4 linked regions of the Lepisosteus oculatus genome follow. The protein of the gene in region 1 binds, or shares a complex with, the protein of each later gene. Links are inferred from orthologs where the notes say so. Each region holds a gene or a part of one and is shown on either strand. Other genes may lie near its edges.

Region 1 (7,774 bases):
TCTTGCCATGGCTAGAATATCATCTGTCACCCTAAAGGCAAACAGAAACCACATTCCATGACTACTATACAACAGAGGTCTTTTTAGATCATTTTGTAATGCTTATTTCAGTGTTCCAAGGTTATACAAATAGTAACATGCAAAATCAATATTTATTTTTCCATCGTAAAAGGATGATAGCTGTACTGAAATAAGTAATGCCAGCTGTTTCTTAAAATAATAGAGAAAAGCACTGTACAGCTGAAATTACTCACTCAGGCATGTGCCTTGAACATCTTGCTGTTCCTCAGAGACTTTAATGAGGAAGCAAATCAATGAAATGTGATTCTCCCCTATTGATTTATATGCATAGTACTCAGCAGGGCACAAGTTTGGCGTCACTAACACAGTTGTCTACATTTACGATGAACTCAACAAAACTGCAAAGCACTGTTTACCATTATAACTACACAAACGTTTCTACAGTGAAAGGCCAGTTAATTATTACAAATCAGGTGGATACTGATCATAAAGAAGGAAAATAAGCATATTGAATTCTACCATGTGGAAAAGACACCCCGTATGGCCTGCTGTCTCAACGTCCAGGTTGCTGGTCCCTCATAACGACAATCTTTTCCTCTGCAGGTCAGAGCGCAGATAAGATTTGGGGGCATGGTTTTGACAAGGTTCTCTCGGGCCTGGGAATAGGAGGGCCGGGGCCCAGGAATACACAGGGCCATTCCTGGTGTGCAGGCGGATGTGAATGGACAGGCTTTGTCTGAACAGCAATTAAGGCGGAGTGCAGCCAACCGAAAAGTTCGTCTGGTAATGAACATATTAAAGAAATGTAGAATTAGGTATATGCCCAGGACAGCAAACAGCAACATTAAGCAGCAGAGTTGTGACAATAAAGTGTATAAATCCTGAAATACATAAAGACCATCTTAGAAAAAAGATTCTAAGCAAAAGTATTACATTAAATTATGTTAAAATATTAATTGATGTCTTTAAAGTCTTGTTTCTAGTGCAGACAAGATCATGAATCTTCACACTAAAGTGAATATTGACAATCTTTATGACTGTTAAAATGATATAAAAATTGCATCACTTACCATTATTGCGTCACATTTTGAAATAATTAAAGCAACATAAAAATCAAATCTGTTCAAATCCCCAATAGGCTCTAGTGTATTAGAGCTAGAAATGTACATAGGGCTGCTTCTCTCACTGCCTTTGTGGTTGCTTATTCTGACCTACATCCACTAATCCCTGTTATTAATTCCATAAACACATTAAGACACAGAGGACCGGGGCTTGTAATATTCTTTGTTATATAACTGGGCTCCAGACCAAACACACCTTTATTCTAAACTGAGCCATGACTGAAAAGTTCAGAAACACTCTAAATTAGACAAATTGTCCTTCGGGATCAACAAAGACTTATCTTATCTTATCTTAAATTGCCAGACAGTGTGCAACAAATATTTTATTTAGGAAATCAGTGCCGAATTATTGACACTCTTGATAAACAGGACCATATTAATTCCTTCCTGTGTTTTTCTTGGTTTTCAGGCTTGACATTCAATAGGATAAATAATTTCATCACCTGTCACCACTCAACTTTCTCTGCTGATGCAACAAAGTCATCAGCATTATAGTCATGAATGATCAATTAATCAAATTTCAGAAATCCATGTTTTATTTTTATTAAAAACATACATGCATAATTAGTGTGATGTTATGCTTGCTGCTTAATATATAATATTTCGCCTTTGTATATGAGGAATCTATGAGCACGTACATAATGATACAATTCCCACTTGCATTCATAACCTGGACTGTTTTAGTACATGACTGATTACATTGATGCACACAGTACAGTGAGGTATGAAGATAACAACAGTACCCATTGTTGAGCACGGAGAGGGTTGTAAATATGGTAGCTCCTGTCAACATCCATCCATTTCCTAATCCCTTCTTTCAGTTCAGGGTCGGAGGGGAGCCAGAGCCTATCCTGGCAATAAAAAGGGCGCGGGCAGGATAGATCTTGGACAGGACACCAGAGCATCACAGGGCCGACAAAAACAGACACAGACACGCACACACTCACTCCAGGACCAAGTTTCCCAGGAATGAATTAACCTACAGGTTCATCTTAGGACTCTTCAAGGAAACCCACACAAACACAGAGAGGTGTTCCCCATGTAGATAGCACCCCAGATATGATATATTTAATCTTTTATTCTTACAGGTAAGGGAAATGAGAACAAATACTTATTTGCAGCGATGTCTTGAGCACTCATTTATACAGCAGTACGTATACTAGAGTAATTTAATGGAAGTATCTTGCTCATGGACACAACAGCAGTGTCTGGACAGGAGATGTCCATGATGTCCATGTCCATGAAGAAAAACATTCTGAATACAAGATATCTGCAAAGTTCAAACACTGAGTGAAAAGGCTTGACCCATTTGGCCGATACACTGAATCACCTACAGTATGCATGCCAAACCGATCAGCATATACAGTACTATAGCTGTCAAGGAATGTTTGATTGGTAAGGCTGAATTCATCTCTGAACATCTACAGTATGTGAGCCTACAGAAAACTTCAGCATAAGGTTCACCAGCCATAGCCTTTAAATGTGTCCCATAGCCCTGAACCCAACATCACAGTGACCCACTTTACAGTATAGGCAACACAGCAACAGAACTGCTTGCCTCTAAACTCTGGAGTGGTGCAGTCTTCTTTCTACCTTACTGCAGTAAAGATGGAAAATGTCTTTAACCTCATATAAAAGACATGACTTTTAAGACATTGTGAGATGCAATAGGATATGATTCAGGTCATTTTGGATTGCGATATGTATTAAAGATAAAATTATTTTACAGTGTTGTATTATTAGTACTAATAAATGTGAGTCTCGAAATGTAATACATTTAATGGTGCATAGACTGTCAATGTGATGACAAAATGTTTTGTGTTCTGATGTGTAGCAGTGAAGATGATGAGATGAAGTGCATTTATATTAAGTGTACACTAAAATATGTATCTGTTATAATGTTATTTAATGTTATGTATAAAGTTGTTTGAAAGACATCATTTCAATACTAAAACATAAAATTCTTAATCTCTACTCATATTTGTACTCAATCCTGCTACTGTACTTTATGAAGTAATTGTACTTGTGCTTCAGTATCAGTTCCAAGTATGGTCCCAGGACGTCTCTGTAATCTACTGCAATCTATGCACTTTACTGCTTTGTGATTTTTTATTAAAGCAATAAAAATAAACAGTACAAATAATGAAAAAAAATGTGCGCTTTGTGTCCACTGGAGGTCAGCAGAGATTTAGTAGTACTGTAAAGCAGCACACATAAAGGTAAATACGTGCTGGTTAATATCACAGATTGTATTAAAAATTAGCTATATGGTTTAAGTGAGAGGCTTTAAATAAAATTCTTAAAATTCTAACTATTGGACTGGATTTCCCAAAAGGAGTTTTATTAAGTGTATGGTTCATTAATAATAATAATAATAATAATAATAATAATAATAATAATAATAATAATGGACACTCAGTGGGGATGAGTAAAGAGTGACGCAAACAATGAACGGATCGGAAAACATAAGCCCAGAGTGGACAGGAGGCGGGAGTGGACACCCAGGTGGTGTGAAATCAAGAGAGGTGAAGAGAGGCGTGAAGTCAAAACCTGCAACTGAATAGAGAGGAATAGAAGGAAACGAGTCTGTAACTGAGAGAAGGAGGAACGTATGATGCTAGATTCAGGATAATTTTGATTTTGGATGTCTTCCTGCAATAGGAGTTCCGAAACCCTTCTTTGAGAACGCAGATGGAGAGACCGTGACGATCACAGCCGTGAGAAGTAAAATGAGAAACTATGTTCTTGGAGATATCTTTGATCTTCACAGCCCTGACATGTTCCCTGAAGCGGTCTCCCAGTCTCCTTCCTGTTTCCCCAATGTAGATAGCTGGGCATTTTCTGCAAGAGATGCAGTAAATAAGGTTGCTGGAGGTACAAGATGTCTTCTGAGTGATCTGGAATTGTCCAGAAGGGCCTTGGGGCGAGAGAGAGTAAGGGAATAGCTGTGAGGAAAAATAAAATAATGAACACTAATTGGAATATTTCATTTCCGTTAGCACAGGGTGTTCTCTCAGATTTTAAAATTGAAAGGCATCAGTGCGCCAGGATAATCTCTCGTTCAGGATACCGCAATCCAGTTTAAGGCTTTCCTTGATATTATTAGCATTAGAGGTTGTGCCAGTAGTATTAACCCACCAACTCATGTTTCTAAATGCTTCGATATTAGTCTCAACTTTTTGGAGTTGAGACCAGTTACATTCAACCAGAACTCTTTCAGAACAAGATGTTTGATTTTTAAGAACTGAAAACAAGACGTTCATCTTTATTGACGTAATTTACTGCATGATCCTGTATCTTCGAATCAGTAAGACCAGCCTGATGGACAGTTATAAGATGCGCAAGTTGTAAAGCCAGTTCTGTTCACACTGTAGCCAAAGTCTGATTGAATACAGACTAAAACTGTGCATTTCTGGAAAAAGTGCATTATAAATTTGGAGAGGTCGGAACAGCGGCACTCTTGAACACGGGTATTTCTATTGCTCATTTTCGTGGAGTTATACGGTTAAGTTTAATGGCCGCATTGAGAGGACTGGCCGTAGAATTGACCAATAAAAAATAAGACCTGCGTCTCAATGCTCAATGTGGATTGACAGCAAAGTTGTCCAATGAACATTACAAATTCAGGAAGTACCGTTTTTCGAGTCAGACGACACGTGACAAGATCATATGATCATTATCACAGCGGAGTCGAGCTGTGAATGTTTTTCTTTTGATTGAACATGGTGAGTATTCCTTTAAAACAAGAAAAGTAATACGGATGAATACTCAAAATAATATAAATATTTTGCGTTTCTGTACTATTTTGTGCTGATAACAAACGAACATGATACCAAATATATAATAAGAAGTAATGAAATATCAGACTTTTATTAAAAATACTGTCCGAAGAAGATAAACATAGTCTTTATTGCAAATGCGATTATATATGACAATTAGTATCCACTCTGGTCTGGTTAAACGAAAGTACGTGCTTTAACTTTGGGGGCTGTTATCTCATGATCATAGGCCTGTTTAGCTGAAGACAGAATGAATTGGTTAAGGATCGTGCACCAGAATTATCAGACCCTTAATCTTTTGTAAAGTATTTTCTTAAGGATAGTATTTTTAAAAAAACGAAATATTCACTTCTGAGATATTTTTGTGTTTATAGATACATTGCGTTAGGGCTACACACTACTTTCCTCCCGAAGGCTTTGTAACCTACTTTGATTCCTACGCCTTTAAAGTAACTACCCTCTTTTTTTCCCCGGTAGTTAATGCCATTGAGTTTTCAGGAGTCCAAGAAGATGGGCGGGACGCCATCACATGCACATAGTTAAAGAACAACATATTTAACCTAGGAAATTATTAAAATCGTAGTTTTTTTGTGTAAGTGCATCTGGTCATAGCAAGTAAGCTTCTTGCCTGTAAAGTAACAGGTGTGATTCGTAAGCTTTACAACAGGATTCAAGTTTCCCAAACCATTATGTCTGCATAGATTTAACTTTAAAATTTAAGAAAATGAAGGAAGTTAAGAAAATTTTCGTAACAACAATGTTAAATATCTTCCCGAACGTGGGTCTTTTTTATTTTGAAAGAGTCACGTGGTAATGCCCTCTCCCTCTGCGGGACATAATGTGACTAAATGTCGTTCGTAGAGTAACGTTTAATCAAAAACGGTTTTATTTTGTAGGTAGTTTTCCCTAACTTGTGGTACACGGTAAAGACGTTTCTAGGAAACCATTTTTGTTTTCGACAGGGAATGAGATTTATGTTGAGCTCCAGATAGATTTAATTGAACTGTCCCCCACAGTGTCCGTGGTATTCTACTAAGAACGTAATGCTTTGTAAAAATGTGAAAAGAAGTTGTTACAAGACTATTTTTGTTATGGCAAGGACAGCCTCCTGTATTAACATTGAAGGGTCAAGTTCTCCTTTTCCCTGTTATCACAATACTGACAGGAAAGATGTCTCTGCTGTGTTTCAGACAACAGCTTTGACTCAAGGGCTGGAGAGAATCCCAGACCAGCTGGGCTACCTGGTCATCAGTGAAGATGGAGTCCTTGCTGTGAGTAAACACCATACTTTTACAATAAAGAAGGTGGCTGGGATTTAGACAGGAAGGACAGGAGGTGCAGGAAGGAGTGAGCTATGGAGACAAAGGAGGGTCTCCTTCATCATAATAATCATTCCAATAGTTTCTGGAGAAGCCCAGAATTGAATTGAGTTTATAACAACAATTCTGGAGGGATGACGACAACTGAGGTCAATCAGACTTACTCTCTTACTCTCTGACATCACTTACTCTCCTGAAACACTGTAAGGGGCGGAGTGGTGGCACTGTAGCTAAGGATCTGAGCTTGTGCCCAGAGGGTTGCTGGTTCAAATTCTGTAGCCGGCAGAGGAATCCTACTCTATTCGGCCCCTGAGCAAGGCCCTTAACCCCAACTGCTCCAGGGGCACTATACAATGGCTGACCCCAAGCTTCTCTCCCTGTCTGTGTGTCTCATGGAGAGCAAGCTGGATTATGCAAATATACAAGAATACACAATTTAATAATGCAAGAAATTGTATATGTATAATAAAGTGATCTTATCTTACCTTAAATACTGTATGTGATCTTGCTTATATCTTTTGCATCCCACCTCCACCTCGTCTCCACCTCTGCAGCTGCCCCTTGGTCACTCCTCGCTCTGTGTGGGGTCCCAGCCTCCTCTTCCTATGGATAAGAGGTCAGCCCTCAGCCAGACCGGTTAAACCAAATTCTGACTGAACACTCCATAATCCTTAATATCTTGGGTGTTGTTACTGCTAGTGCACTGGGACCTAAACATACATCGTTGTGTTGTCTGGTTGAGCTTGGCATTCCTTTTGCCCACTTCCTCCACTAGTGTGGGGCAAAGCTGCCACAGGTTGGTTTGTCTCCTTCAGTAACCTCCTACAAGCACCGTATGGCTAATTAAGACTTTCTCCCCCCTAGTCTGCCGGTGAGATGGAGAACGACGAGCATGCGGCGGGGGTGATCATGCAGATGGTGCAGACAGCCTGCAAGTTTAAGCTGCAGGGCAGCACAGAGCCCCCCTTCAAGCGCATGTCAGGTCAGTTTAGACGTGCTCTACCTCTTAACCGGTGCTGGTAAACACTGAGCATCCATTTCAGCTTGTGTCAGGTTTGGCGTTACACTCACTCGTCTTTTTCATTGAGCTGGGCGGCTTTGCCTCGAATGTTAGAATTTTTTTTCCCTCCCGCAAGTATTTGCCAATTAAAAGGCATTAAGAAACGATCCTGCCTATCATTTCTCCCAGAAAACAGTACAGCAGATTTGATAGTAATGCTAATGGATAGAACAGTACACAGGGTTACCAGAGGTTTAGGAATCCCACACAGTGAAGTTTGTTGATACAAACAGCAGGTGGGGATATGTGTTTAGGAATTGTAGATATGTCTTGTCTTGTTTTTACCTTTTCTCCTCTCCTGTCTTTATCTAGTGGTGTTTGAGGATCATGTCTTCATGGTGACCGTGTCTGGGCAGAAGGTCTTTGTGGTGAAACGGCAGAACAACCAGCGAGAGCCAGTTAACGTCTAGAGGTGTGAGGGTGGACCCGACGCTGCCCAGAGATGCCTTTTCTCCAAGCAGTAGTGGAATGAGG
Region 2 (7,221 bases), on another chromosome or scaffold:
TCACTACTGTTACAAATCCCTAACAGCCAACACCATTTTTTCAAATCCTTTAGCTTTGTAAAAAATGTGAAAAACCAACCCCCCACTTAAAAGTTACAATTCTTTTTTACATGCGCCATGAAGCAGAAGCATTCCAGATTTCTTACAGAATCTCAGATAATATAGAATTAAGATATAGAAACAACAACAATATTAAAGATATTTAAACACTTACTTGATCATTTATGTTTGACTGAATGAAACTTTAGTTTCAGGAATAAAAAATTCGGTCAAGCCCAAAGGTCAGGAATGGATTCTAACCCAGACTGAGTGACGTACATTAATGCAGGTAAAGCATTTTTATAGCTATAATTTATAGCATTTTTACCTATAATTGACCGCAGCAGAAAGGTGAAGTGTATTTATAAAGGGCCCATTCCATGTGCTTGTGATTAGCACACACAGCATGCTGGCACATAGTTCAGTTTATATTATGAAAGACTTTAGTTAAGTGTCCACCATTAGTGACAAAAAATAGGAGCCAAAATCAATGAAACCCCCTCCTTTAAAAGAGAAAACTTTCTGGAGTTTACTCTTTCCTCAGATGTGACCTCGTCCTACTACACAACTAGATTACATAATCACAAAGTTCATTAGTCACTTTTGTACTGATCAGATTCTAATACGCATTATAAAATCATCACCCACAAAAGAAATGTGGAATGACCTGATGTGCAAGGCCACAGAGATGTGTTGTGCATTACGGACTCATTTTGCAGACCCTAATTTGTGAAAACCCTGGACTCGCTAGCCAAATTAACATCAGGTAGTCCAGGATTAGTGATAATTAAGGTCTGTGAAACCACTGGGAACTCAATGATGTCATAAATACATCAGAAGAGGTACTGAATGAATGCAGTTGTGATTCCAATCCTGTTTTTAAGTAAAAATGCTGCATATTTTTCTGTATGGTTAGGTGTAAGGCATCTTTAATATGGAATTTGCTAATTTACGCTTTCAAGTTCAATTGCACAGACTTCTAGAGAATATGTGAGAGGATTCCAATTAAAGATTATCAATTCTCTAGGAATGTCCCTATTAAAATGCCTAAAAAAAGAGTATATCAAATCTCATGAACATAAGGTCTCACAGCTCAATTTATTAAGCCTCCCTTTCATTAAAAAAGGATAAAACAAACATCCTACTTCAATTGAAGATATCAAAACAAACCTAAAAATAATATTTAATTTCATACAAAATAACACAAATACTGATGAATGCAGAGGTATGGCCCAAAGACTTGGATAAAACAAAAAACCTCAACAAAATCAAGTTTTATTTGATCCTTCTTCATTAAACAGCCAGAGACACTATTCTGGCACATTGTAGAACCCCATGACAAATACGAGAATCTATTTTCTTCTTAATAAAAATGTGAACAAAAGAGCACTCCAGCAAGATTAAAATATCAACTATGAATAGTGATGAAAATTCTATGGGATCATTCAATGAAAAACTTAATTTATCTCAGATCAATAAGATACCAGTAACCACATGAACACAACTGGACCTAATATTACTTCTCTCAGTGCATATCTTCTACAAATATTAACATAATCAGTATATTGTCCTAACAAAGCAGGGGACTAGAAAAAATGCATTCTCCTAAAAAAAATCTTAAGAAAATGTTTTAATTTGTAACACAAAGCAATACCTAACAAAAAGAAATATAACCTCAAAAAAATGACAGTTTTCATTTTTGCAATAGATAGCGGTCGTGTTAGGAAATGTGTCTTGTGATTCATGATACAGCAAAACGAAAAAGTTTCACTCTGCAACGCGCAGGAATCCTGTCACATACTGTACGTGTCTATTTTAACTAAAAGGTCCCTCACGAAGACATGCATTTTTGGTTTTAATATCCAATGCTATATTACCGATAATTATTGTAGAATTCAGATTATTTAAATTGGGGGACTTTCCTGAGAGGGGCTTCTCAGACAGTGGTCTTCAACCCAGAAAAGTTGTGAAAGACCCATAATCTGTTCTACCCTTTTCATACCAATCTTTTTAAAGTACTGTACGACTGCGGTGAACACTTGCATGCATCATATACTGTACTTTTCACTCAATGCAATTTTAAGAGCATGATAAGCTATACTTACAAAATATGTATCAGACATACTGCACAGCACAGTTCTGGACTGTAAGAATATCTCAAATAAATACAATGCACAGCCTATATACTGTACAATAAATACATGCAAGCAGTGCCGACTATAAATGGTGTTCTAAAACATCAAATCTTTAATATTAATAGGGTGTGAGAGGGGAGGATATGAATTTTAGCTTTACTGACCTCACACAAACCCACGCGTTTTTTGTTGCGGTATACTGTATATAATTGAGTCAGACGCCCTGTCGTCATTCGAGAGATGAGTGAATTTTACATTCGTCAATGGTTTACAGTAAGGGGGGTGACCGATTGCAATGGATTTGTAATAGTTAATAGCGTTTTTAAACACGGTACTTAATCATATAACTTGCTCCCCGAACAGGCTGCATCCCAGTTCGTCATTCCGACTCTATGCACCACCTTACCCAAACAAATGTCAACACCCCAAAAAGTAAACTTGAATTCTGTAAAAATCTCACATTCCATATTTTAATGTAGCGAATGCGTAACCCAGAAACAAAAGAGTCCAAAAAACATACGGCTCTATTCTTCTTTTTGCAATCATAATCACGATGTTGTCAAAAACAAAGAGCAACCACGTTGAAACTTACGTTATCTTGATACAAACAGAAGCCATACCATGGCACGGTATTAAAACCAAGACCATTTGTTATGTCACGTACCTGAATGTCTGCTCGTCTTTTGCACACTTCGGAGGAGGCGAAAAGGCATTTCTTTTATTAAAAAGTTTTTGAAAAAGCGTAGGAGGCATTTTGTACCAAATACTTTGGTACAAAAATTCTCTTTCTTATCAATCCACAAGCACACCTAGTTCCTTGAAACTAACTCCATTTGTGTCAGAGTCATATGACAGGCATTAGTCACACAAGCTGCTAGGAAACACAACTCGATTTTTCTGATTGGACAATACTGCACCTTCATGGTTTTCAATTACGCGATTGGCTGTTATTTTTGGCAGAGCACCACGTGGTCGACAGAATTGCTGTGTTGATATTTTGGCGTGTGGCTAGGAAACATTTACAGAACTGTACAGAAATTATCAAAACCACACGTTAAACTTAAATATACGACGTTTCAATTTACATCTTAAGGTGATACATTGAATGCATGAGTCTTTTACTACAGAATGCACTTTCCTTAATTAAATAATACCAAGCATTGCTATAGGTTCATTACGTAACAGGAAAAAAATGTTGAAACTAATCTTATTTAAAATTAGACAAATCTAATGTAATGGTTTGGGGGAAATACCTTTATAGCATATTTCAATCAATTACATTTGCTAAATAAAAAGCTTTATACAACGAAATTGTTTTCATTAAACAGGTGTGATAACTCACTAGAAAAGGCATATTTAAAATAAGTAAATTCAGAACAAAAATCACGCTAAAAAAGATAGCCATTACACAAAATGAGTCTTCAAATGTCATTGTATCAATCTATTTTCTCTTACATCTGTAGAGGAGTACTGTAAATGCAGAGCTTGTTGCACATCAGTACTGTAGATAAATACTTAAAATAAGAAAAGCAAGGTAGAAAAACCTATGACTTTCTTTAGTCATTTTCAGCTAAAACTACACAAGCAAAGTTAGTAACATCTTGAAATTTGAGTGACCACTTCTTTATAAAATGACCTAACATTGGAATAATAAGATTGCACGAGACTGCATTCTGGCAGCATGGTGGTGCAATGGTTAGCATTGCTCTCATGCAGTGCTGGGAGTCTGGGTTTAATGCCTGACCTGGGGTACTGTCTGTGTGGAGTTTGTATGTTCTCATCATGTTTGCATGGGTTTCTTTTATGTGCTCTAATTTCCTCCCACAGCTCAAAACCTTTCTGCTAGGTTGAGTGGCTTCTGGGAGAATTGGCCCTACTGTAGGTGAGAGTTTGTGTGCCCTTCAATGGACTGGAGTGTTGTGCAGGGCATATCCTTTCTTGTGCCTGTTGCTGGATGAATGGATGAACTGTGTTCAGATTTATGTATACAAAAGCAACAGTCAAAGTCCGAAATCCTGTTCAAATAAACGTTTCCTCTTTATAGAAGTTCAAAAAGATTACATTAATTTTAGGTGATGGATCCATTTTAAACATCTGATTGAAATTCTATTCTATTCGATTTTCTAGTCAGTCAGTGCTTGTTCACTTTATAATTCAGATGAATATGACATCCTGCTGCTACATGAAATCTGTTGGCTCTTAGGTTAATAAAACTCAGCACATCTGTGCATCTTGCTCTTCACTGGTTACAATAAAATATACACCCAAGCATGATGCTTAGCTGAAAAAGTTCTTTAAGTGTTCACTTAACACTAGTGACCAATTTCCATCTCATAACTTCAACACAAAATGTTTACCATGCGCAGGTAGTTCTTAACACCTTTAAAGAAAATGATCCTCATTAAAGGCAACACTGCCCTCTACCGAAACACAGAAAGACTATCATTTAGCTCATCCGCATTCAACACCAGACAGTGGTGTATGATTTGCAAAGTGTGCGAAATTGAAGACAGTTTTGTTTAATCTCAGTTTTAATCTCAATATAAAAAGTATAGATGTACAAAATGTATAACAATAAAAAAATCCTTTTTTAATTAATATCTACGAGTTTTTTACATGAAAATGTGTCCACAGAAACAAATTTAGTATTATTCGAATAGCAAAACAAATTACAGTCGAAACATTTTTATTCTTTTCAAATGTACATGTTATTTCTATATACACAAAGTTTTCCTAAAATAAGCTTTCAAGCCTTTGTTTGAAGTAGAGGAATCTGATTAACCTGCCTTCTTATTCAGGCACAATTTATCTTTTCATTCACTGAATAATATAAAAAATATTAAAACGGTTATGCAATGTTATTTCCAAAATACTTGCTAAAAATAACACTCAAACTGTACATCTAACTGTCCTCATTTGTTCCCATACATTTTGTCTCTTGCACCTTCTTTGTCACCAGCTCAACTGAAAGTGAAGTTTCTGCCCCAGCACCATGTGGGAACTAGAGAAATGTGAAAACAAATGAGAAAAGCAAAAGTCATAGTTAATTAATTCATTCTTTTTATATGCTCCAATTTGGAAATGGCCCCACAGCACCTACACCACAGTTATGTTCTCCTGGACTTGTCCCTTGAGGAGATTCTCAGCTCTTTGGCTTGGCTTCAGCCTCCAGGGAGCATCATCTGTGTTCTCAGCTCAATGATTTGAGTATTTCAAAGTAAGAGCTCATTCCAGACAACACTCATACATCATGAAAATGTTTATACCGGCAATAGTGCTGCTGCTCTTCCTCAGAAAAAAAGAAAGACAACTCTTCTGTACGTTTTGGCAAGAAACATTTGAGCCCTGTAGTCTGCGATGTGAGGTGTTTTTGTCTGTCTGTTCTACCTGGATCTGTACTTAACAAATATAGCAAACAATGTGATCTCCAGGCATTATTTAATCAACATCAACGGCATCCAACATTTGGTAAAGATGTGAAAAGTCAACCACAACTCGTTTTCTTAATGAGTTGCCTTATTCTTCTACTCCAGTTTTGTTTTATTGCAGTTTTCCTGAGGGAAAAGGACAGAAGACCCCAGATGATGAGAGAGCATTGCCTTTTGAGAAAGTGTCTGAAGTCCCATGCGACCTACTAGAAACCCAAATCATCGTAATAGCCCTTGTGTTCCTAGCTTGTGATTTTGTAGATCTCATTAAATCACCACCGATCCAAAATCGGGAAACAACGATTAATTTGTTCAAATAAAAAAATGGTTTAATTAAGAAATTAAGAGCTGAGGTCCTCCAGGACCGGGGGTACCCAGATTTGGTCTGAGGTATACACATTTAACTCTTGACCCTGGGCTTGTGGGTCTCAGCCTTCAAGACTGTACTCAACCAATCCCATTCACCTTGTAATGTTCTCACAGTATAATGGCCTAAAGAAAACACAACCTACCTCTTGCAGAACGTCTTGATTTCACATTCTATCTAGAGGATCTACATTCTTCTTTGCAGATTTTTGGAAAACTCTTCCTTGATTTAATTTTCTTTCAGGAAACCTTGTATTCTCTCTCTCTGGTTTAGGCTTACCACTCTCTTCTGTCACACCTTGTTCAGCATACCTTCCTGTGTTGTTTTGGATAGGACCCATATTTGTGTGGAAGTACTGTACAGTAGATACCAACCAACAATCAACTTTCCCTATAACCTTAATTTTGTAGGATTTCTTGCAGTGTTTTTTTGCTTTCATAATCACAGCTAACACCCTTTGACTGATCTGAAGAGTAGCACAGCTCATTTCTGTAATTATAAAGAAAGCACAGTTAACAAGCACTCGAAATAGCGGTACCAGTGTTCACTGTGATGAGGGGAACTCACTGAGGAGATGTAAAGTTCTTAAATGTCTTGACTTCTTAAACTTCTTCATCCAAGCACACAATCTTTCAATCCAAGTACACAATCTTTCAATCTGTATCACATTGCATTACATACCATCTTTAAATGATAGTTATGAACTGTTTGACTAAGTCCTCGGTTTGAAAGTAAGAACTGGTTTAATTATTTCAGACAGAAGGATATACAGAATTAAACTTAGAATGGAGACATAAAGCTGAAATGAGCCATAAGTGACCATAAGGCCATATTTTAGGGTGTTAGAGTGCGCATTATAACTGAATTAGTATGCATAAACTGATTGAATACATATTAAGATGAGATATGGACAAGCTTAATAGCTACTGTACTTATCATCTTAGGTGCTGCTGAGGGTAAAAAGATTCATAGGGAATGTCATCCTGTCCTTCTTAGTTTCTTCTTTACTGTTAGATGGAAAACTGAAAAAATAGTTCAAGTAGGTAGCTGCGTCAGCATGCATAGGCTGCAAAGGAACAAGTAAAGGTTTATTCCATGCTGAAAAGCGAAGAAAAGAAACAAAGTTTTGGTTGCAGACCCTTCTTCAGGTGTCTCACTCTCTTCAGTGTGGAATAAACCTTTACTTGTTCCTTTTTGAAAACAAATGCAACATTTTTCAGAACACAGGGCTTCCTGAGCCCCACAGAAGTAC
Region 3 (7,709 bases), on another chromosome or scaffold:
GCCTGTGCTGTAGTGTCCAGTCAGTCAGTCAGGGTCACTGTGCTGTAGTGTCCAGTCAGTCAGTCAGGGTCACTGTGCTGTAGTGTCCAGTCAGTCAGTCAGTGTCTCTGTGCTGTAGTGTCCAGTCAGTCAGTCAGGGTCACTGTGCTGTAGTGTCCAGTCAGTCAGTGTCTGTGCTGTAGTGTCCAGTCAGTCAGTGTCTGTGCTGTAGTGTCCAGTCAGTCAGTGTCTGTGCTGTAGTGTCCAGTCAGTCAGTCAGTGTCTCTGTGCTGTAGTGTCCAGTCAGTCAGTGTCTCTGTGCTGTAGTGTCCAGTCAGTCAGGGTCACTGTGCTGACCAGTGTCTCTCTGTGTCTCAGGACTATGTGGACTCTCTGAAGGGCCTGTGCTATGATGGGATGGAGGGGCTGCTGTATCTGTGTCTCTATTCCTTGCTGTCTGCTGTGTCCTTCACCACTCTGCTCTGCTCCCTGCCCGGCGCCTGGAGGGGCTTCTCCAGGTCAGGGCGTCCGCGGCTCTGCCTGTCATCGCTGTGCTAGACTAGAGCTCCTCGATCTCGTCAGGCATTCAATTGTTATTAAAACTCCTGCTTCAGGGGTGTTCTTCATAAACTTCTTTCTCTGTCTTTTCCCACCTGGCAGCGACTCGGACAACTATGAAGACTCCGACAGTGAGAGCGAGGACCCCTTTCCTTCTCACCAGGCACGTAGACAGACGCCCGCGGGCTCCCAGCGCGGTGTCCTACCTGGTTTCTATAGTTACCAGGGGGCCAGCTGGGCTCCGCCCTTTTCCAGCGCACCCCCCCTCCCGTGAGTAACAGACAGGCAGACCGACACGCACACACACCACTACACACAAACGTTAGACGCACACAACGACACACGCACTGATACATGCACACACACACTATCTGACACGTACACACAGACTGACACACAAATACACAAATTCACAGATACAGAGACTCAAACACACACACAGAGACACAGACAGCTACACATACACACACAGATACAGACACTGTTTGCCTGGTCAGAGGGTGTGAAAATACTACTGAGGCAGTGGGTCAGTCAGTCAGTCTGTCTGTCTGTACTTTCCTCTGATTTAATGACAGACAGACAGAAATGATGCTTCATTTCAATAGGATTAGGAATGATCTCAACCCAGTCTCCTCTCTCAGTGCAGTGTTCATGTACTGGAGTGTCCAGTCAGTGTGTCTGTATTAACCCCTCTCTCTCAGTGCAGTGTTCATGTACTGGAGTGTCCAGTCAGTGTGTCTGTATTAACCCCTCTCTCTCAGTGCAGTGTTAATGTACTGGAGTGTCCAGTCAGTATGTCTGTATTAACCCCTCTCTCTCTCAGTGCAGTGTTCATGTACTGGAGTGTCCAGTCAGTGTGTCTGTATTAACCCCTCTCTCTCAGTGCAGTGTTAATGTACTGGAGTGTCCAGTCAGTGTGTCTGTATGAACCCCTCTCTCTCAGTGCAGTGTTCATGTACTGGAGTGTCCAGTCAGTGTGTCTGTATGAACCCCTCTCTCTCAGTGCAGTGTTCATGTACTGGAGTGTCCAGTCAGTGTGTCTGTATGAACCCCTCTCTCTCTCAGTGCAGTGTTCATGTACTGGAGTGTCCAGTCAGTGTGTCTGTATGAACCCCTCTCTCTCTCTCAGTGCAGTGTTCATGTACTGGAGTGTCCAGTCAGTGTGTCTGTATGAACCCCTCTCTCTCTCAGTGCAGCGTTCATGTACTGGAGTGTCCAGTCAGTGTGTCTGTATGAACCCCTCTCTCTCTCAGTGCAGTGTTCATGTACTGGAGTGTCCAGTCAGTGTGTGTGTATGAACCCCTCTCTCTCTCAGTGCAGTGTTAATGTACTGGAGTGTCCTGTGTGTCTGTATTAACCCCTCTCTCTCTCTCAGGACTCCAAGCACTTCCTCCAATGGCAATCCTGGATATGAGAGCCTCCCCTTGATTGACAGGCAGTCCCCGCCCCCCTCGGTGAGGCTCCCATTCTGGTGGCAGGTGGTTACTCTCCTGAACGGATTGACAGAATCCTTCTCTAATTGGAGAGTAGTCACCTGAAGTCCTTTTCATCTGTAAAGCCCAGTCGCTTAGTCTCGGGGATCATTCATAACATGAATCTTCATCTTGCTTTTACTTGAGTAACTCCTTTTATTTTGTTTCTTTCCTTTCATTCCTGGGGCACCCCTCTTGGATTTCCGCAATGGATCGCTCCGACTCCGCCCTCTCCTCTGTCTGCGGGTGGCCCCGCCCCTCCCTCTCTCTGATTGGACAGTATTCACCGAGCATGATGACTGGCTATGGAGGCAGCCAATCGAACTCGAACCCCACCTACTCCCAGATCCTCTCTTTACACTGAAGGTCCTGTCCTTGTCCTGTCCTCTCGTCTGGCCAGAGGCTGTGACCGTGTTTGTAAATGACGGGTTTAATTATAAAACTGCTGGGCTGGTGGAGGGAGCAGAGTCACTCCATTTCATCAGACAGACTGTGACCAGAGTGCATACTGGTCAGCCTGACTGGGACAGGAGTGGACACTGGTCAGTATGACTGGGTCAGGAGTCAACAGCGGGCAGTCTGACTGGGACAGGAGTGGACACTGGTCAGTCTGACTGGGTCAGGAGTCAACAGCGGGCAGTCTGACTGGAACAGGAGTGCACACTGGTCAGTATGACTGGGACAGGAGTGGACACTGGTCAGTTTGACTGGGTCAGGAGTCAACAGCGGGCAGTCTGACTGGGACAGGAGTGGACACTGGTCAGTATGACTGGGTCAGGAGTCAACAGCGGGCAGTCTGACTGGGACAGGAGTGGACACTGGTCAGTATGACTGGGTCAGGAGTCAACAGCGGGCAGTCTGACTGGGACAGGAGTGGACACTGGTCAGTCTGACTGGGTCAGGAGTCAACAGCGGGCAGTCTGACTGGGACAGGAGTGGACACTGGTCAGTTTGAACGTGGCAGGAGTGGGCACTGATCAGTCTGACTGGGACAGGAGTGGACAGCAGGCAGCCTGACTGGGGCAGGGGTGGACAGTGGACAGGAGTGGACAGTGGTCAGCTGTAAGTGAGACGAGAGTGGCGCTGCTCCTGTTTGATGTTTGTGTCACCAGGGTGTCCTCCTGACTGCACAACACACCCAGCCTTTTCTCCTGTTAGCCTTCTAATGAGCTTTTATAAAGAGGGACCGAGCACTGTCAGACCTGATAAGGGATCTGTACCCTTGTTTATCACTGTGTATTCATAGCAATAAAACTCTAGCTGCGCTCCTGACACTACAGGTGCTACTTCTGCTTAATTAATTGTGTTATTAATTATTATTCTTCTTCTGCTGTACTCTCCCCGGAGCCGCTGCGGTCTCTGCAGGCGTCCGGGCGGGGGACAGCGCCCCGCGCTGCGCAGGCGGGCCAGTGTCACTGCAGCTCTGAGGTGTGGGGGAGCTGGTGGACTGTGTTTCCAGATGACGACCCTGTATTGTCCCCTCTCCTGCCTCTAATAAAGTCGATCTCTGCCAGACTGGGGTCTGTGTCCCGTGTGTGTGAGGCTGTGGGGGTCATTACACAGGGGCCGTCAGCACAGACACACGTCAGTACACACAGGTACAAACACATCGCTACACTGACAGACACACGTCAGTACACACAGGTACAAACACATCGCTACACTGACAGACACACGTCAGTACACACAGGTACAAACACATCAATACACTCACAGACACACGTCAGTACACACAGATACAAACACATCGCTACCCTCACAGACACACGTCAGTACACACAGATACAAACACATCGCTACACTCACAGACACACGTCAGTACACACAGGTACAAACACATCGCTACACTCACAGACACACGTCAGTACACACAGATACAAACACATCGCTACACTGACAGACACATGTCAGTACACACAGATACAAACACATCGCTACACTCACAGACACACGTCAGTACACACAGATACAAACACATCGCTACACTGACAGACAGACATCACTACATACAGATACAAACACATCGCTACACTGACAGACAGACATCACTACATACAGATACAAACACATCGCTACACTCACAGACACACGTCAGTACACACAGGTACAAACACATCGCTACCCTCACAGACACACGTCAGTACACACAGGTACAAACACATCGCTACCCTCACAGACACACGTCAGTACACACAGATACAAACACATCGCTACACTGACAGACAGACATCACTACATACAGATACAAACACATCGCTACACTCACTGACACACATCAGGAGATGCTCTATGAAACGTATGGTTACACACACTGATACACAAACACGTGCCCTGTCTCTGTGGGGAAATGAAAATGTGTGTGACTGATACACGTATTGCATAATGTACAGTACAAAACTGTACACAATGTACACACTACACACTGAACACACTGCCGCCTGTACAATCAGCGCATGAAAGATAATCTCCAATAAAACGCGCTCTCGGTCATGGTGACCTTAAAATGAAACGCGCTTCCTTTTACCTGTAATTACAGAAGTGAACTAAATATCATTTCGTGCAACTGATGCGTTTCCTTCGTGCAGAAAAGGTGGATTTATGTATCTTGGAATCGGTCAGGGTAGCTGTTGTTTTGCTGTTTTTTAGAGGTGAAAATCTTTGAAGAACTACGGTAATTTGAGAGCATGACGTCAGAATCATGCGCCTCGAATCACATGACAGCAGAGGCGAAGGGTCTGTTGTGCTGACAGTGGACGGAGACCTGTCGTTATCTTAACTGTCGCTCGAAATATTTTTAGCGTTGCTGTCAGCTCTCGCAGTATCGGCGGTAGCAGCAGTCGAGGTAGTTCTAGGTCTTGCTACGAGACAGACATCAAACTCTTTGTAGTTTACTTAAGTAAACACCGCCAGGCTCAGCGCAGAGAAGGTAAGACTTCGTCAATAATGTCCTCAGTTATACGATTGATCCTGACAAGCAAGTAGTGTGTAGTCGAATTAAATCGCCTGTCATATGATTTCAGTGTATTCTAAGAGCTGTCCTGGACTCCAGGTGTGTGTGTGTGTGTACAGTGTGTCCAGTAAGAGTCTGGACTCCAGGTGTGTGTGTATACAGTGTGTCCAGTAAGAGTCTGGACTCCAGGTGTGTGTGTGTGTGTGTGTGTGTGTGTGTGTGTGTACAGTCTGTACAGTGTGACCAGTAAGAGTCTGGACTCCAGGTGTGTGTGTGTATACAGTGTGTCCAGTAAGAGTCTGGACTCCAGGTGTGTGTGTGTGTGTGTGTGTGTGTGTGTGTGTGTACAGTCTGTACAGTGTGACCAGTAAGAGTCTGGACTCCAGGTGTGTGTGTGCATACAGTGTGTCCAGTAAGAGTCTGGACTCCAGGTGTGTACAGTGTGTACAGTGTGTCCAGTAAGAGTCTGGACTCCAGGTGTGTGTGTGTGTGTACAGTGTGTCCAGTAAGAGTCTGGACTCCAGGTGTGTGTGTGTATACAGTGTGTCCAGTAAGAGTCTGGACTCCAGGTGTGTGTGTGTGTGTATACAGTGTGTCCAGTAAGAGTCTGGACTCCAGGTGTGTGTGTGTGTGTGTGTATACAGTGTGTCCAGTAAGAGTCTGGACTCCAGGTGTGTGTGTGTGTATACAGTGTGTCCAGTAAGAGTCTGGACTCCAGGTGTGTGTGTGTGTATACAGTATGTCCAGTAAGAGTCTGGACTCCAGGTGTGTGTGTGTGTGTACAGTGTGTCCAGTAAGAGTCTGGACTCCAGGTGTGTGTGTGTGTGTGTATACAGTGTGTCCAGTAAGAGTCTGGACTCCAGGTGTGTGTGTGTATACAGTGTGTCCAGTAAGAGTCTGGACTCCAGGTGTGTGTGTATACAGTGTGTCCAGTAAGAGTCTGGACTCCAGGTGTGTGTATGTATACAGTGTGTCCAGTAAGAGTCTGGACTCCAGGTGTGTGTGTGTATACAGTGTGTCCAGTAAGAGTCTGGACTCCAGGTGTGTGTGTGTGTGTATACAGTGTGTCCAGTAAGAGTCTGGACTCCAGGTGTGTGTGTGTATACAGTGTGTCCAGTAAGAGTCTGGGCTCCAGGTGTGTGTGTGTGTGTACAGTGTGTCCAGTAAGAGTCTGGACTCCAGGTGTGTGTGTGTGTGTACAGTGTGTCCAGTAAGAGTCTGGGCTCCAGGTGTGTGTGTGTATACAGTGTGTCCAGTAAGAGTCTGGGCTCCAGGTGTGTGTGTGTGTGTACAGTGTGTCCAGTAAGAGTCTGGACTCCAGGTGTGTGTGTGTGTGTGTACAGTGTGTCCAGTAAGAGTCTGGACTCCAGGTGTGTGTGTGTGTGTGTATACAGTGTGTCCAGTAAGAGTCTGGACTCTAGGTGTGTGTGTATACAGTGTGTCCAGTAAGAGTCTGGACTCCAGGTGTGTGTGTGTGTGTGTATACAGTGTGTCCAGTAAGAGTCTGGACTCTAGGTGTGTGTGTATACAGTGTGTCCAGTAAGAGTCTGGACTCCAGGTGTGTGTGTGTGTATACAGTGTGTCCAGTAAGAGTCTGGGCTCCAGGTGTGTGTGTGTGTGTACAGTGTGTCCAGTAAGAGTCTGGACTCCAGGTGTGTGTGTGTGTGTACAGTGTGTCCAGTAAGAGTCTGGGCTCCAGGTGTGTGTGTGTATACACTGTGTCCAGTAAGAGTCTGGACTCCAGGTGTGTGTGTGTGTGTACAGTGTGTCCAGTAAGAGTCTGGACTCCAGGTGTGTGTGTGTGTGTACAGTGTGTCCAGTAAGAGTCTGGACTCCAGGTGTGTGTGTGTGTGTGTATACAGTGTGTCCAGTAAGAGTCTGGACTCTAGGTGTGTGTGTATACAGTGTGTCCAGTAAGAGTCTGGACTCCAGGTGTGTGTGTGTGTGTACAGTGTGTCCAGTAAGAGTCTGGACTCCAGGTGTGTGTGTGTGTATACAGTGTGTCCAGTAAGAGTCTGGACTCTAGGTGTGTGTGTATACAGTGTGTCCAGTAAGAGTCTGGACTCCAGGTGTGTGTGTGTATACAGTGTGTCCAGTAAGAGTCTGGACTCCAGGTGTGTGTGTGTGTGTGTGTGTGTGTATACAGTGTGTCCAGTAAGAGTCTGGACTCCAGGTGTGTGTGTGTTTATACAGTGTGTCCAGTAAGAGTCTGGACTCCAGGTGTGTGTGTGTGTGTGTATACAGTGTGTCCAGTAAGAGTCTGGACTCCAGGTGTGTGTGTGTATACAGTGTGTCCAGTAAGAGTCTGGACTCCAGGTGTGTGTTTGTATACAGTGTGTCCAGTAAGAGTCTGGACTCCAGGTGTGTGTGTGTATACAGTGTGTCCAGTAAGAGTCTGGACTCCAGGTGTGTGTGTGTGTATACAGTGTGTCCAGTAAGAGTCTGGACTCCAGGTGTGTGTGTGTGTGTGTGTGTGTGTGTGTATACAGTGTGTCCAGTAAGAGTCTGGACTCCAGGTGTGTGTGTGTGTTTATACAGTGTGTCCAGTAAGAGTCTGGACTCCAGGTGTGTGTGTGTGTGTGTATACAGTGTGTCCAGTAAGAGTCTGGACTCCAGGTGTGTGTGTGTGTATACAGTGTGTCCAGTAAGAGTCTGGACTCCAGGTGTGTGTGTGTGTACAGTGTGTCCAGTAAGAGTCTGGACTCCAGGTGTGTGTGTGTGTTTATACAGTGTGTCCAGTAAGAGTCTGG
Region 4 (6,962 bases), on another chromosome or scaffold:
GAGAACTTGAAAGATCAAGCGGTGAAGAACGAGGTTTAAAGTCTCATCCGAAGAGTAGGGCTTCAAAGCTCAGCTGCTGGAGACCCACACACCCACGGCAGCCCAGCGTAGCTCCTGCACTCAACCCTCCACTGTACTAACAACTTACCTGAGCGATCTGATTATTTGCCATTGAGTTTCCTACTCAAAAGTTGGGGATTTTACTTACGAAATGCGGTACAGTAGTTAAAACGTAACCTCCAAAATGTTTAGAGCTGAAACCAGTCAAATTAAATCTAAATATAAAAATGAATGAATCGATATTAATACATCCATTAAGAGTTCAGCTGTGGAACTGAGGGCTCGGCTGGGAACAGAAATCATCGGGTATGTGGTCCACCAGGAGCAGGACTGGGAGCCCCTGTCCTACAGCACAGCGCCCCCCGTCACTATGCTGAGACACTGTCTTGGAAATCCTGTCCCAGGGAGAAAAGCACCACCTACTACCAACACCGCTTACACTAGCAAACTGCTATTCCTGCAGTCCTCCCATGCCAGTGCAGTCCAGGTTCGGCCTTGATCAGCTTCCGATATCTCAGAAAAGAGGGCTAAGAGGTGATGAGGAACAAGTAAAGGTTTATTCCATGCTGAAAAGAGAAGAAAAGAAACACGTTTCCACGGTGGAGCCTTCTTCGGGTCCACAGTGGGAAACTTGTGTTTCCTTTCTTCTCAGCCTGGAATAAACGATTACTTGTTCCTTTGCAGACTACGCATGCTGACGCAGCTCCCCACTTGAACTACTGAGAGGTGATGATGCTATAGTCCTCTAGACTGCCTGTGGTCAGTGTTCGTGGTTGGTCCACTCTGACTCCTTGCAGCAGTAAGCAGTCTGCCGAAGCACTGGAGGAGTGGAACAGTCGACCCCTGGTGGGGACGCGGGGAAGTGCAGCGGCTCACCATGCAGTCCATGAGGATGAACTTCAGCTTGTCCTCGTTGAAGGCCTGGTGCCCGTTCTTGTCGTACGCTGCCCAGATGTTGCTGGCGATGGCGGCGGTCACGCGGGCATCTGTGTCCCCGTAGCCGGAGTAGGCCAGAAGGGAGCCTTCGTTATTCAGCAGGCTGGGGAAAGGAGCAGAGGGAAAGTCACCATCATCAAGTCTCTAACGGACTGCTGGAGCCCTCCTCTTATTCCAGGCTGGCTCCACTGAGTTTCCAAAGTAAGTGTTGAAGGCACAGTCTGTAGGAGGCACGGTGCTGTGGAGGTAAGCACTCCTGCCTCATAGTACTGGGGGTGCTGTCTGTGAGGAGTTTGCATGTTCCTCCAGGTGCTGTGGTTTGCTCCCACAGTGAAAAGGCATGCTGGTGGATTAATTGGAAGAACTGGCTCTGTGTGCGAGTGTGTATCTGCCCTGTGATGGACTGGCATCCCGCCCAGGGATGCTTTGCGCCCGTTGATTACCAGGATAGACTCCGGTTCCCCTGCAGTCCTGGATTACCATGACAACAGACCCAGGGAACCACAGCTAGCTCACTCGGATAACCGTGACGACCATGATGTTCCAGAGAACAGGATATCAGCCCTGGGCTTTGGGGAAACTGCTCACAATACATCATCATTAGTATTCAACTAGCAATAATCACGCCTCGGGCCAAACCTCATATACTGCGATACAGCCACTGTGCAAAGCTGTAACTGACCATCGGACACAGAGGAGAGGAACTCAGAAACTCAGAAACTGGCAGTGGGAAGAGATAAGGCTCCGGGGGTCCCCAGGCAGCATCGTCTCCCCGCTGGTCTAGTGGTTAGGGTTCGGCGCTCTCACCGCTGCGGCCCGGGTTCGATTCCCGGTCAGGGAAGGGTCTCCTTTTTTATGGGGGTATAGCTCAGTGGTAGAGCATTTGACTGCAGATCAAGAGGTCCCCAGTTCAAATCTGGGTGCCCCCTCTGTATGTGACTTTCATCAATTTATAAAGTATTATCTATCTATCATTACTGCACCCCAAACTCACTGCCCGGGGACCCCCGGAGGCTTATCTCTTCCCACTGCCAGTTTCTGAGTTTCTGAGTTCCTCTCCTCTGTGTCCGATGGTCAGTTACAGCTTTGCACAGTGGCTGTATCGCAGTATATGAGGTTTGGCCCGAGGCGCGATTATTGCTAGTTGAATACTTTTCCCAAACTAGTTATACTGCCATAGAAATCTGTAAAATAATCTGTGGCAAAGCGCTGTGAAGAGCGTTATACCAGATACATTGACAGACTGATGTGCTAGATGTTATGAAATTAGAAGTTAAACCTGGGATTCAGGTAAAAACGTGTACGAATACATAGAAAATTAATCACTACGTGGCCGTAAAAATATATTTTTTTAAAATGCTGTATACATTATTTAAAGTGAATTAATTAATTATTGATCTTCATTTGGTTATTTCAGGATGTTGCAGAGACACGTTCTTCTTCGGGTACTCACGCTGAGTATTTTATCATACGTTTTTTTTACTATCGCACAATGCAGTTCAGCCTTCCGAGAAAGCCTATATACCAACTGCCACCTTATTGAGTCGCGCTGGCATTGTAAACGTGCCGTTGCCGCTAAGGGGAAGTTCCTGCTGTTCCTGATGTTACTGGAGACCAAATACGAGCTTTTTCTGCAAGAGAGGCGAAGGCAGCTCAGATTGGGAAACTCGTTACCGCTTCCCACGCAGGTTACCCACGAATTTTGTTCGACAGCTGCGTTAAGTGTAGGTTATCTCCCACCCAGTCAAATATATTTTATAGCAGAACAGTCCGCATCAGTGAAAATATCAGGTGGAAACGTGGTTATTATAGCCTTCATCATTACTCACAGTGTACTCTGAACGCCGCTTGTATTCGCCTGGCTCAGAACTTGAGTCAGTGCCTTTGGTCGCAGCATGGTTGGAAAAAAGAATACGAAGAAATCAAGTATTAAATCTAAATAACTACAATACTTGTACTCTCCAAAATATACAGTATCCTCGCGGAAAGCACCACTCCGTCAGCTGACTGAACATTCCGGAAGTCACTTCCTGTTTACGTCTCGAGTCCACTGCGGTTCTGGGAATTGTAGTTTCCTTTTGCGACGCGGTAGCGTCCTGTGCACACGTCTCGATTGTAGTTTTCACAAAACTTTAACAGTTCCATTAAACAGCGGTTCAGTTTGTATCGCGGACAGATTTTATCCGGCGTAAGGCACGTACAGCGGACTTATAAATACCAGGTGGCCCCGTCTACTTTTGTGTCGTGTCCGTTTAGTTTGAGGCGCAAACAAAAAACTGTAGTACCTTTAACTCAGTACAGTACCCGAAATTAAGTACAGTATCTGTGTTTCTCCTCTGCCTGGGAGTACGGCCTTTTCTAGTGGGGTTTACCCTTGTAAAATCAACCCCCATCACCTTCCCCTTGATACAACTCACAAAATACTGCATCATACTAAACACCTGGGACTTGGTTAGCAGTATACATTACAATGCCCTCACGTTACGGACAGTAACACGCAGATTTAATTGACAAAAGTCTGAAGCGAAAAGCAGAAGGAAAAGCCTTGTAATGTGGTTAAAGGTTTTAAGTAGATAAGCTTATGATTTAGATATTACAATTAGCTTTGTTTTACGATAAAGTCTTGAAATACGTAGTACGAAAACCTGTTCAAGTTGTTATTGTACTCGAAGATAAGATAAACAAGTCTAGGCATGTTATTACTGTCGGTGTGATGTATAGTTTTCCAGATAACCTCGCCTCGGAAATGTTTAAAATACTGTACTTCTCATTATCATCATTATACACAGACGAGCGTTAACATAGAAAAAAGTTCACCTGTTATGTGTCTAATACCTCTCCCTCCATATTTGTGTGTAGAGTAGCTGCATTAGTTTCACCTGTTTTTAGAATAGTCACAGTCTGTGTCTGAAGCCTAGGTGTCTCAGGAGAAGCCCCTGGCCTTCGCTAGTCTGCACAGTAGCACAGTCCGAGCTCCAGAGTCTGTTGGGGATCGGGGTCAGTTACCATACACACCCCCAAGAAAGGCAGGCGAAGAGTCATTTCTGCGTTATTCAACAAAGTCTGCCAACCTCAGCACATCCCACCTATCGACAGGCGGGCAGAGAATCAAGGGGGCAGAGACGGGTTCTAGGGGTTAATGTTGTGGGAGGACACTCGTTAACCTAGAAGACCAATGCGGATCACTGCCTCAAGGTCCCGAGCGATCATCGTCCCTCCAAGCACGTCTTTCCTGCTGGGAGAAGAGCTGTCCAGGATGACAGAGCAAGTGTGGACACCCAGTAGCTTGATAAGCCTGACGCTGATGTTATTCATATATTATGGCCACCTCAGTCACCAGTTCTGCACCCAATCGAGCATTTACAGCATATTTAATAATAATAATAATAATAATAATAATAAAGCGCTTTACAGGTAATGGGGATCCCCTCCACCACCACCAGTGTGCAGCCCCACCTGGATGATGCGACGGCAGCCATAGTGCGCCAGAACGCTCACCACACATCAGCTATCAGTGGGGAGGAGAGCAGAGTAATGAAGCCAATTCATAGATGGGGATTATTAGGAGGCCATGATTGGTAAGGGCCAATGGGAAATTTGGCCAGGCCACCAGGGTTACACCCCTACTCTTTTCGAGAAGTGGCCTAGGATTTTAAATGACCATAGAGAGTCAGGACCTCAGTTTTACGACTCATCCTAAGGACGGCGCCTGTTTATAGTATAGTGTCCCCATCACTATACTGGGGCATTAGGACCCACATTGACCGCAGGGTGAGCACCCCTTGCTGGCCCCACTAACACCTCTTCCAGCAGCAACCTTAGTTTTTCCCAGGAGTCTCCCATCGAGGTACTGACCAGGCTCACACCTGCTGAGATTCAGGGGGTTGTTAGCTGTGAGTTGCAGAGTGATATGGCTGCTGGTAATATGACAATGCTTGAGACGGGTTTTCACCTCTGTCCACTAGGAGCGAGTTGACTTCCTTTCTCCTGGAAGAAGGTGCCGTGTCCCTCCTGCAGAATCCCAGAGGCTGGCAGATGTTACTCCACAGACCACACAGGGTATACAGGCCCAGCGCCCTCTTAAATCTCTTTACATTGTCATTGGCATTTTTTGTCCACCATAACAAAAAGACAAAGGATTAATCAAACTTGAACAGTTTATTCAAGTTGAATACGTATACTTTCTTTAGTCAGGAATCATGCGTCTTGGCAACAAGAAACACAGGCATGTAGATGTCCTCACAGCACTGGGGCCCTGGGGTCCTGTCTGTGTGGAGTTCGGATGTTCTCCTCATGTTCATGTGGGTTTCCTCCCTCAGGCCAAAGACATGCTGGTGGGTTAATTGACTTCTGGGAAAACTGGCCCTGGTGTGAGTTTGTACTTGCGTTAGTCTGCCCTGTGACGGACCGGCATTTCGTCCAGGAGGTATCCAGCCTTGCGTCTGTTTTTTATTGGAATATGCTCCCCCAGAACTCTATAATGGAAAAACCAGCTCGATACTTGACAACTGTACCCTGCAGTCTGTGACCTTAAACGTATGCTACCACTAAATGAGGAAGAGACTTCATCGGCTTTTAAGAGTATCACATTGCAAGGGATTTCAGGGCACCCGCCCAAGAGATAGATCTTGGCTAAACTGTAGTTCAACAGAAACTTGAATGACCTGGACTGGAGAAAATCAAACACCTGGAGTAGTTCCACCCGTCAGAAGTGACAGCTGAAATTTTCCCTTTTCTGTCGCTGCAGTCCAAACGGATTAACAGGACAGTACCCAACGTCTTTGGGTTAAGAAGGATTAATTCTTTTAGTTCTGCATTCATGGTAACTCCACAATATCTCACAATAAAGCTCATAATCAAGCAATAGAAAATCTTATTTTCTTACTAAAATAAAGTGCTCTGTGAGGCTTCTCACTACTGGTACTCTTTTTAAGTAAGTTGACATAAGTTGACTATTCTACCAAACATATTTCTATTTGATCGGGCACAAAACCATAGAAATAACTGAGAACACAAGTGACCAGAGGAAAACACATAAACACACGTATACTGTTATGTGCATTGTCTTTCGTGGCATAAAAGGTACACTAACATATAACACTGTACTGTAAACAGGCGTCGTCCTTCAGATGAGACGTAAAACCGAGGTCCTGACTCTCTATGGTCATTAAAAATCCCAGGGTGTTTCTCGAAAAGAGTAGGGGTGTAACCCCGGCGTCTTGGCCAAATTTCCCATTGCCCCTTACCAATCATGGCCTCCTAATAACCCCATGTCTGAATTGGCTTCATTACTCTGCTCTCCTCCCCACTGAGAGCTGGTGTGTGGGGAGCGTTCTGCCGCACTATAGCTGCCGTCACATCATCCAGGTGGGGCTGCACACTGGTGGTGGTGGAGGGGATCCCCATTACCTGTAAAGCGCTTTGAGTGGAGTGTCCAGAAAAGCACTATATAAGTGTAAGCAATTATTATTATTATTATTATTATACCCCATCCCAAATGAGAATTGGAAAACCTGAAAACTGCCTTTGGCTACCACCTAGTGGTCAGTTATGTGCACTCCAGATAGTCTGGAGATTGGCAATTGGTAAGAGAATGGCCATGACAAGATCAACATGACTGTTGACCAAATTTGAAAAAAAGGATGTTATGTGCTAACTCTACTATGACAATTCATTGGTTTAATATTTATGCATGTAATAATATGGCAGGTAACAACCACAGAGTTGAATAATACAATTTGAGTAAGCATTCTTTATACCACAGTTCTTGTGGTCAGTGCTTTGGGTGAGATAAGACAGCTCGCTGTTTAAAAGACTTAAAAATTAAACAAAACACAAAATAATCTGTGTACATGCACAGAAATCTCTGTGCATGTAATGTTTAATGATTTTTTTCAAAAATACACCTTTAAAATTGGCTGTTGGAATGATTTTGTTGGAATGGAATTTCTGCATTCTCTCCACCT

Evidence for each region.
Region 2: lamtor4 (region 1) and fnip1 share a complex: the UniProt entries of both Homo sapiens proteins name them as parts of the lysosomal folliculin complex. The link is inferred for Lepisosteus oculatus from reciprocal best matches to the Homo sapiens genes LAMTOR4 and FNIP1.
Region 3: lamtor4 (region 1) and flcn share a complex: the UniProt entries of both Homo sapiens proteins name them as parts of the lysosomal folliculin complex. The link is inferred for Lepisosteus oculatus from reciprocal best matches to the Homo sapiens genes LAMTOR4 and FLCN.
Region 4: lamtor4 (region 1) and lamtor2 share a complex: the UniProt entries of both Homo sapiens proteins name them as parts of the ragulator complex. The link is inferred for Lepisosteus oculatus from reciprocal best matches to the Homo sapiens genes LAMTOR4 and LAMTOR2.

Annotation. Positions count from the first base shown.
Region 1 is NC_090702.1:13,159,881-13,167,654, reverse strand, and holds the start of lamtor4 (ragulator complex protein LAMTOR4), read left to right. Parts: upstream 1-4,759; 5' UTR 4,760-4,864; coding exon 4,865-4,867; intron 4,868-6,111; coding exon 6,112-6,192; intron 6,193-7,104; coding exon 7,105-7,222; intron 7,223-7,612; coding exon 7,613-7,710; 3' UTR 7,711-7,774. Other genes in the region: protein tyrosine phosphatase domain-containing protein 1, read right to left, coding at 1-31, 541-719. UniProt on the Homo sapiens protein: As part of the Ragulator complex it is involved in amino acid sensing and activation of mTORC1, a signaling complex promoting cell growth in response to growth factors, energy levels, and amino acids.
Region 2 is NC_090706.1:24,570,902-24,578,122, forward strand, and holds the start of fnip1 (folliculin-interacting protein 1), read right to left. Parts: upstream 3,010-7,221; 5' UTR 2,928-3,009; coding exon 2,839-2,927; intron 1-2,838. UniProt on the Homo sapiens protein: Binding partner of the GTPase-activating protein FLCN: involved in the cellular response to amino acid availability by regulating the non-canonical mTORC1 signaling cascade controlling the MiT/TFE factors TFEB and TFE3.
Region 3 is NC_090718.1:1,063,137-1,070,845, forward strand, and holds the start of flcn (folliculin), read left to right. Parts: upstream 1-4,705; 5' UTR 4,706-4,935; intron 4,936-7,709. Other genes in the region: ttyh1 (protein tweety homolog 1), read left to right, coding at 358-497, 640-807, 1,913-1,991, 2,290-2,373. UniProt on the Homo sapiens protein: Multi-functional protein, involved in both the cellular response to amino acid availability and in the regulation of glycolysis.
Region 4 is NC_090722.1:3,023,011-3,029,972, reverse strand, and holds the start of lamtor2 (ragulator complex protein LAMTOR2), read right to left. Parts: upstream 3,023-6,962; 5' UTR 2,894-3,022; coding exon 2,826-2,893; intron 2,220-2,825; exon of another isoform or gene 2,079-2,219; intron 1,926-2,078; exon of another isoform or gene 1,854-1,925; intron 1,670-1,853; exon of another isoform or gene 1,587-1,669; intron 1,100-1,586; coding exon 937-1,099; intron 1-936. UniProt on the Homo sapiens protein: As part of the Ragulator complex it is involved in amino acid sensing and activation of mTORC1, a signaling complex promoting cell growth in response to growth factors, energy levels, and amino acids.